3 linked regions of the Saccharomyces cerevisiae S288C genome follow. The protein of the gene in region 3 binds, or shares a complex with, the protein of the main gene of each other region. Each region holds a gene or a part of one and is shown on either strand. Other genes may lie near its edges. The genes, in order: TRX2, TRX1 and PBI2.

Region 1 (2,627 bases), on a different chromosome or scaffold from region 3:
GTGTTCTAGGATGAATTGTAATGAGAGTTGGTTTTATTTTCATTTTGCGTTTTCGTTTTCCGTCTTTTAGCTTTTGTCCAACTAACTTGTAGTATAAGCTGTCTGTAAGAATAAAACGGAAATAGAGCCAGTATGCCCAGGGATCCATTGATTGGTATTGTGGGTAAGCCATCTTCAGGGAAATCCACCACATTAAATTCTTTGACGGACGCAGGTGCGGCGGTAGGAGCATTTCCCTTTACCACGATCGAGCCAAATCAGGCAACCGGCTACTTGCAAGTTGAGTGTGCTTGCTCCAGATTTGGCAAGGAAGATCTTTGTAAACCTAACTACGGGTGGTGTAGCAAGGGTAAGAGGCATATCCCCATCAAACTGTTGGATGTGGCAGGGCTTGTGCCTGGAGCGCATTCCGGCAGAGGGCTTGGAAATAAATTCTTGGATGATTTAAGACACGCAGATGCTCTTATTCATGTGGTGGACGTTAGTGGAACCACAGATGCAGAGGGGAAGAACACAAGAGGATATGATCCATTGAACGATATAGAATGGCTGCAAGACGAAATCAGGCTTTGGGTTGAGGGGAACCTGAAGAAAAGATGGGGGTCTATTGTGCGTAAACATACAGCAACGAAATCTAGCATAGTGGACACACTTCAAGCGCAATTCGGTGGGTACGGTTCACATGCGCCCATGATCCAAAAAGCCCTGGACAGGTTGAAGGGACTACCACCTTTGGAAAAATGGGATGACGAATGGATCACTCGAGTGGTCAAGTCCTTTATGATGGAGAAATTTCCAACTGTGTTGGCACTCAACAAGATTGACCACCCTGACGCCGATAAAAATGTTTCTAAAATCATGCTAAAGTATCCTGACACCAAAGCTGTACTGACCAGTGCAGTGACGGAAGTTTTTTTGAGGAAATTGAAAAAGCAAGGTTTTATATTATACGAGGAGGGCACGGAATTTGTTGACACATTTGAGGACGAGCCAGACAAACTAAAGCCACTGGACGACAAGATCCTTAACAGAATTGAAAATATCAGAGATTTGGTCCTGTATAGATTCGGATCTACGGGTGTTGTTCAGGTTCTGCAAGCAGCAACGGACATCCTTGGTCTAATACCGGTGTACACTGTGAAGAACATCCAGACTTTTACGGGTGGCAACGGAACCAACGTATTTAGAGATTGTTTTTTGGTCAAGCGAGGAACCCCTGTTGGCAAAGTTGCCAGGTATATCATGGGTGGCGAGGTCACCATTGCAAGCATTGAAACCGTTGGCGGCGTGAGAGTCAGTGAAGAAAGTCTTGTTGAGCCCGGTAAGAATGACATACTCGGCTTCAAGATCGCTCCAAGATCAGCATAACTTGAGTGCCAGTGAATATTAAGTAATCATCAAAGTATATGTGTAATTGTTTATACTCTTAGTAAAGGATGCTCCCTACAAGGTGGCTCTTTTCTTACTAAGCGCGTTCAGTTTCCAGCCAGCCGAAAGAGGGATATCAGTATATAAGAAAGCCATTCGGGGGATGAAAAGCTGACAAGAGAATAACGAGGACCAGTTTTTATTTGTTGTCTAGCAAGAATTATACACGCACACATACACGAGAGTCTACGATATCTTTAAATAACACATCAATAATGGTCACTCAATTAAAATCCGCTTCTGAATACGACAGTGCTTTAGCATCTGGCGACAAGTTAGTCGTTGTTGACTTTTTTGCCACATGGTGTGGGCCATGTAAAATGATTGCACCAATGATTGAAAAGTTTGCAGAACAATATTCTGACGCTGCTTTTTACAAGTTGGATGTTGATGAAGTCTCAGATGTTGCTCAAAAAGCTGAAGTTTCTTCCATGCCTACCCTAATCTTCTACAAGGGCGGTAAGGAGGTTACCAGAGTCGTCGGTGCCAACCCAGCTGCTATCAAGCAAGCTATTGCTTCCAACGTATAGTTGCCGGTATATTAACGCTACGTAAAGTACATCATGTTTACCAGTTTAAATAAACAATTTTAAAAAGAAACTCTATTACATCTATCTATCATTATTTTCTTCATTGTCTATTGTATATTTCATCATCGGTGTAACCAAGAATGTATAAAATGTCAGTCATGCTCTTGGTATTCAACTTACAAGGTGCAGCTTTCTGCACCTTTGGCTTGGCGTTCCATGCGATCCCAAACCCGGCGGTAGCCATGGCTGGCAGGTCGTTACCACCGTCACCCACCATACAACTTGCTTCAACTGGAACATTGTAGTCATTACATAGTTGCAGAAGGGTTTCACTCTTGCACTGTCCGTCTACGATAGGACCCAGTGTTTTACCGGTTAATTTTCCATCAGTGTCAACTTCCAACAAGTTTGCCTTACAAAAATCTAAACCTAACTGATCCTTGATAAAACCGGCAAACTGAATAAAACCACCGCTTAAAACAGCGAGCTTGCAATTTTTTTTGTGAAGGAACTTGCATAGTTCTGGCACACCCTTGGTGACCTCTAGCTTTTGTTTTATTTCATCATATAGTGTATCGACTTGGAGGCCTTGCAATAATTTAACGCGTTCTCTTAAAGACTCTTTGAAATCAAGTTCATTGTTCATGGCTCTTTCTGTGATCTCGTGCA
Region 2 (2,799 bases), on a different chromosome or scaffold from region 3:
ACGGTATTGCCGGTTCTTACGCTGAACACGTCGGTGTTTTGCACGTTGTTGGTGTCCCATCCATCTCTGCTCAAGCTAAGCAATTGTTGTTGCACCACACCTTGGGTAACGGTGACTTCACTGTTTTCCACAGAATGTCTGCCAACATTTCTGAAACCACTGCTATGATCACTGACATTGCTACCGCCCCAGCTGAAATTGACAGATGTATCAGAACCACTTACGTCACCCAAAGACCAGTCTACTTAGGTTTGCCAGCTAACTTGGTCGACTTGAACGTCCCAGCTAAGTTGTTGCAAACTCCAATTGACATGTCTTTGAAGCCAAACGATGCTGAATCCGAAAAGGAAGTCATTGACACCATCTTGGCTTTGGTCAAGGATGCTAAGAACCCAGTTATCTTGGCTGATGCTTGTTGTTCCAGACACGACGTCAAGGCTGAAACTAAGAAGTTGATTGACTTGACTCAATTCCCAGCTTTCGTCACCCCAATGGGTAAGGGTTCCATTGACGAACAACACCCAAGATACGGTGGTGTTTACGTCGGTACCTTGTCCAAGCCAGAAGTTAAGGAAGCCGTTGAATCTGCTGACTTGATTTTGTCTGTCGGTGCTTTGTTGTCTGATTTCAACACCGGTTCTTTCTCTTACTCTTACAAGACCAAGAACATTGTCGAATTCCACTCCGACCACATGAAGATCAGAAACGCCACTTTCCCAGGTGTCCAAATGAAATTCGTTTTGCAAAAGTTGTTGACCACTATTGCTGACGCCGCTAAGGGTTACAAGCCAGTTGCTGTCCCAGCTAGAACTCCAGCTAACGCTGCTGTCCCAGCTTCTACCCCATTGAAGCAAGAATGGATGTGGAACCAATTGGGTAACTTCTTGCAAGAAGGTGATGTTGTCATTGCTGAAACCGGTACCTCCGCTTTCGGTATCAACCAAACCACTTTCCCAAACAACACCTACGGTATCTCTCAAGTCTTATGGGGTTCCATTGGTTTCACCACTGGTGCTACCTTGGGTGCTGCTTTCGCTGCTGAAGAAATTGATCCAAAGAAGAGAGTTATCTTATTCATTGGTGACGGTTCTTTGCAATTGACTGTTCAAGAAATCTCCACCATGATCAGATGGGGCTTGAAGCCATACTTGTTCGTCTTGAACAACGATGGTTACACCATTGAAAAGTTGATTCACGGTCCAAAGGCTCAATACAACGAAATTCAAGGTTGGGACCACCTATCCTTGTTGCCAACTTTCGGTGCTAAGGACTATGAAACCCACAGAGTCGCTACCACCGGTGAATGGGACAAGTTGACCCAAGACAAGTCTTTCAACGACAACTCTAAGATCAGAATGATTGAAATCATGTTGCCAGTCTTCGATGCTCCACAAAACTTGGTTGAACAAGCTAAGTTGACTGCTGCTACCAACGCTAAGCAATAAGCGATTTAATCTCTAATTATTAGTTAAAGTTTTATAAGCATTTTTATGTAACGAAAAATAAATTGGTTCATATTATTACTGCACTGTCACTTACCATGGAAAGACCAGACAAGAAGTTGCCGACAGTCTGTTGAATTGGCCTGGTTAGGCTTAAGTCTGGGTCCGCTTCTTTACAAATTTGGAGAATTTCTCTTAAACGATATGTATATTCTTTTCGTTGGAAAAGATGTCTTCCAAAAAAAAAACCGATGAATTAGTGGAACCAAGGAAAAAAAAAGAGGTATCCTTGATTAAGGAACACTGTTTAAACAGTGTGGTTTCCAAAACCCTGAAACTGCATTAGTGTAATAGAAGACTAGACACCTCGATACAAATAATGGTTACTCAATTCAAAACTGCCAGCGAATTCGACTCTGCAATTGCTCAAGACAAGCTAGTTGTCGTAGATTTCTACGCCACTTGGTGCGGTCCATGTAAAATGATTGCTCCAATGATTGAAAAATTCTCTGAACAATACCCACAAGCTGATTTCTATAAATTGGATGTCGATGAATTGGGTGATGTTGCACAAAAGAATGAAGTTTCCGCTATGCCAACTTTGCTTCTATTCAAGAACGGTAAGGAAGTTGCAAAGGTTGTTGGTGCCAACCCAGCGGCTATTAAGCAAGCCATTGCTGCTAATGCTTAAACTCACCCAATGACCGATATATTGTGTTTCTATACTGTGTTTGTTATATATAGTTTACCTTTTTTAGACAAAAAAACAGAATTATATATTATCCTTATGTTTTGTTATTTACTCGGAAGCACACAATTGCCCACCACACAAAGGAGGTGGAGGAAACAATTAATTTTTCACACAAGAGGTATATATTTGGAGAAAAATGAAGAATGAGATACTTTTCTTCCGATTACTTAAGTATTACGGCTCTGAAATTTTCTCGAGCATTAGATGATTAAATCAAAATGACATAGTATTTCGCAACCTTTCAGTTGGGCTTTGTTTAAGAAGTGGAATACTTTTGCTTGAGTTGTTTAGTTTTATTTTATCCACTGTTGTCTTAACAAATATTTTCAAGACCGGTAAGCCGAAGATGAAAAATCATTATTAACTCATTTTTTGAACAAAAATATAAACAAAAGAAAGGCAACGCACAATTTTAGAGATACATAAAACGCAGTGGATGTTAAAAATAACAGCGGTACAGAAACGCCTGTCTCGCTCCAATAATAATTATACAAATTTGAAACCGAACGCAATGTGCCAAGAAATGTAAACACACTATAGAAAAAAATAGAACGGTGCACATTGTGCTAGCATATCTGCTTGGTTCTGAACAAGAAGCACCTGGCC
Region 3 (2,613 bases):
GAAGGAATTTCTGGCGCAAAAGTAACTGGAGAGGAGGACAAAAGATATATATATATATATATTTAAATGGATATATATATATGCACATATATATTATCCAGAAAAGTAAAGCAAAATGTGAATGGAAAAGAGAAAGAAGAAAGAAACAAGTGGAGAAAAAACTCAAATTGTTAGAAGAATATACCCATTAATAGCGGAAATCAAGGCTATTCTTTTGTGCAAGCGCATCGCTCCCCTAAAAGACATCCAGCCGCGCAATGCACGGGCCGCGACCTTGAAAATTTAAAAGACCACTTCCTCAACACAGTTTAGCTCTGTTAATGACAAGGCAAGGAAAGCAAGATGACCAGAAAAAGAAAGTCCCGAGACACATCTTAGATGCCAAAGAAATGGCGCCACAGCAGTTATAAAAGAGCGTTAAAATTGAACAGGAGCAACGATTTAGACTGTCATAAATATATTCGTATATATATATGTATATATATATATATATATATATATATATATAGGACGTGCTCTGCTGTTTTTTGGTGAATTATTATAGTAGACGAGAAATAAATTTACAATCGGGGAGAGAAAATTTCCGAGTAAAAAAGTGTTTGCGTTTATCTCAGGAATCAATTTGTATGAACTTCTTTGTCTTCTTCGACGTTCTCGATGACATCATTGTGCTTTTCCTTCAACTTGTTCAAGTGGAGAACATCTGGTACCTTGATGGTGTACCCTTTAATGATGTCGAATTCGTGTACAATAGAGCCACCTGCGTGATGAACTGAATCCAAGAACTTCTTAGCTTCCACATCTGGAGTGTTCTTTTTCAAAGTGACGATGAAATTCTTTGTCATTATGGACCTTGTTTTTTGTTTGTATATTTAAGATTACCTTCTGGTTACCGTTCAATTGGTCTAAACGGAATCTCTGCACCTAACATAATGAAGCCAGAATTTTTTATATGTGCCATATATATTGCATTGAAAGAAGTTCCCGATGCTCTGATATGCCCCCTTTTTCCCGCCCCATTTTATTTTTTGGGCTATGCAAGATAAAGAAAGACCAAGAGCTCGGGGATGCGTGGTATTGGTCCGTTTCCTTTTGGGAAAGATGCCAGCCACAACCTGCCACGTACGCGATTCGAAATGATTCGGGCGTGCATATGAAGCTCTTGGAAAAAAAATAAGGGCTGGATAGAGGGAAAGGAGGTGTTTGGCAGACGAAGTAATATCATCTAGGTTTTTGATATTTGGCGTCGCGACTTTTTGGTTGTCATTTTCACAACCTTTCCCTAAAGAAAGAAAAGTCCTGTGGAACCAGCCGGGTTCCTGTTAAGCTGCCTTTTTTTTGGTCTTAACAGCCATTCTTTTGTTCGAAACACAGTTCCGTACTTAATGAGAACGTTGGAGCAGCGTCACGGGTGCGCAGTGGTAGTGGCTGTTGCCTTTATGTGCCTGGACTCAAGACTGACATGTCTCCATAACGCTAGGTAGCATTTTTATATACTTAACAAAAGTTGTAAAAAATAAAAACAAAAATTATATATATGGACTCGACAAAATACAGTGGGATGGATGTTTAAAAAAAATAGGGTAAGAAAGGAAAAAGGAAATATAATAAAGAAAGCCTTCAGAAAATACGTTCTTTATTTTTATCACACTATTAGCAATGACTTTCACATTTTAAAGGAAAATAATAGTATTAAAAATTAAACAGTGACGAAGGAAGGAAATAAGACACAGAAAAACTAAAAAAATAGAGTAAGTTTATAGGCCCTTTTATTTTTCGAGCAATAGTAAATTGAGTTTCTTCTTCTTTTTCTCTCCCTTTTTCGTAGTAATTTTTTTTTTAAAAATAGTATAATATAATGAATGGATTCTTGTCGTTCTTTTTTTATTTTATCTTGGGATTTGTAGGTTGCCTCTCTTTATTCTTTCTTTTTGTTTCATTCCACTTTTCTTCATAATATTTATTGTTGTTGCTGCTGTTGCTGCTGTTGCTGTTGTTGCTCAGACATAACCGGTTGTTGTTGGTCATTCATTATAAGTGGCTGACCGCCCTGTTGCTGCTGCTGTGGCATAAAATTTGATCTTTCCTTACCCCAACCGGTTCTCAAGTTTCTGCCTTGAAATGGGAAGTTTGCCAAGGCAACAATACAAACAGCGGCCTGTTCATGAGTGTCATACTTTATGAAGCAACAGCCCTTTTCTGGATAGTGCTTGAAATCTAAAATAAAACCGAAGTTCTGGAACAACGGAATTAAATCAGCTTCAGTGGCAAAGTGCGGAATATTACCGATATAGGCAGTAGTAACTCTTGGTGGGGCACTTCTAATGATGTGGTCAACAGCTTGAGGATTTACTTGAGGAGGTAAACCAATGGTCTGGGATTGTTGGGGTTGGCCTTGAGATGGTAATGGCATGGCGCCAATTGGCATTCCCATTGAACTTGGTGGCATGCCCCTGCTGTTGTTCATATTCATATTCATGTTCATATTCATCCCCATATTCATGTTGTTATTGTTGTTACTGTTATATTGACGGAAACCACCACGGTTGTTGTTACCGTAGTTACGACGCTGTTGATAATTATTATTGTTATTGTTATCACGCTTAGCAGCCC

Evidence for each region.
Region 1: PBI2 (region 3) and TRX2 share a complex: the UniProt entries of both Saccharomyces cerevisiae proteins name them as parts of the heterodimeric LMA1 complex.
Region 2: PBI2 (region 3) and TRX1 share a complex: the UniProt entries of both Saccharomyces cerevisiae proteins name them as parts of the heterodimeric LMA1 complex.

The regions. Positions count from the first base shown.
Region 1 is NC_001139.9:912,244-914,870, reverse strand, and holds TRX2 (thioredoxin TRX2), read left to right. Parts: upstream 1-1,643; coding exon 1,644-1,958; downstream 1,959-2,627. Other genes in the region: YGR210C (uncharacterized protein), read left to right, coding at 133-1,368; SER2 (phosphoserine phosphatase), read right to left, coding at 2,059-2,627. UniProt on the Saccharomyces cerevisiae protein: Participates as a hydrogen donor in redox reactions through the reversible oxidation of its active center dithiol to a disulfide, accompanied by the transfer of 2 electrons and 2 protons.
Region 2 is NC_001144.5:231,036-233,834, reverse strand, and holds TRX1 (thioredoxin TRX1), read left to right. Parts: upstream 1-1,821; coding exon 1,822-2,133; downstream 2,134-2,799. Other genes in the region: PDC1 (indolepyruvate decarboxylase 1), read left to right, coding at 1-1,445. UniProt on the Saccharomyces cerevisiae protein: Participates as a hydrogen donor in redox reactions through the reversible oxidation of its active center dithiol to a disulfide, accompanied by the transfer of 2 electrons and 2 protons.
Region 3 is NC_001146.8:603,616-606,228, reverse strand, and holds PBI2 (Pbi2p), read right to left. Parts: upstream 846-2,613; coding exon 618-845; downstream 1-617. Other genes in the region: PUB1 (Pub1p), read right to left, coding at 1,961-2,613. UniProt on the Saccharomyces cerevisiae protein: Cytosolic inhibitor of vacuolar proteinase B (yscB), probably regulating protease B activity during limited proteolysis.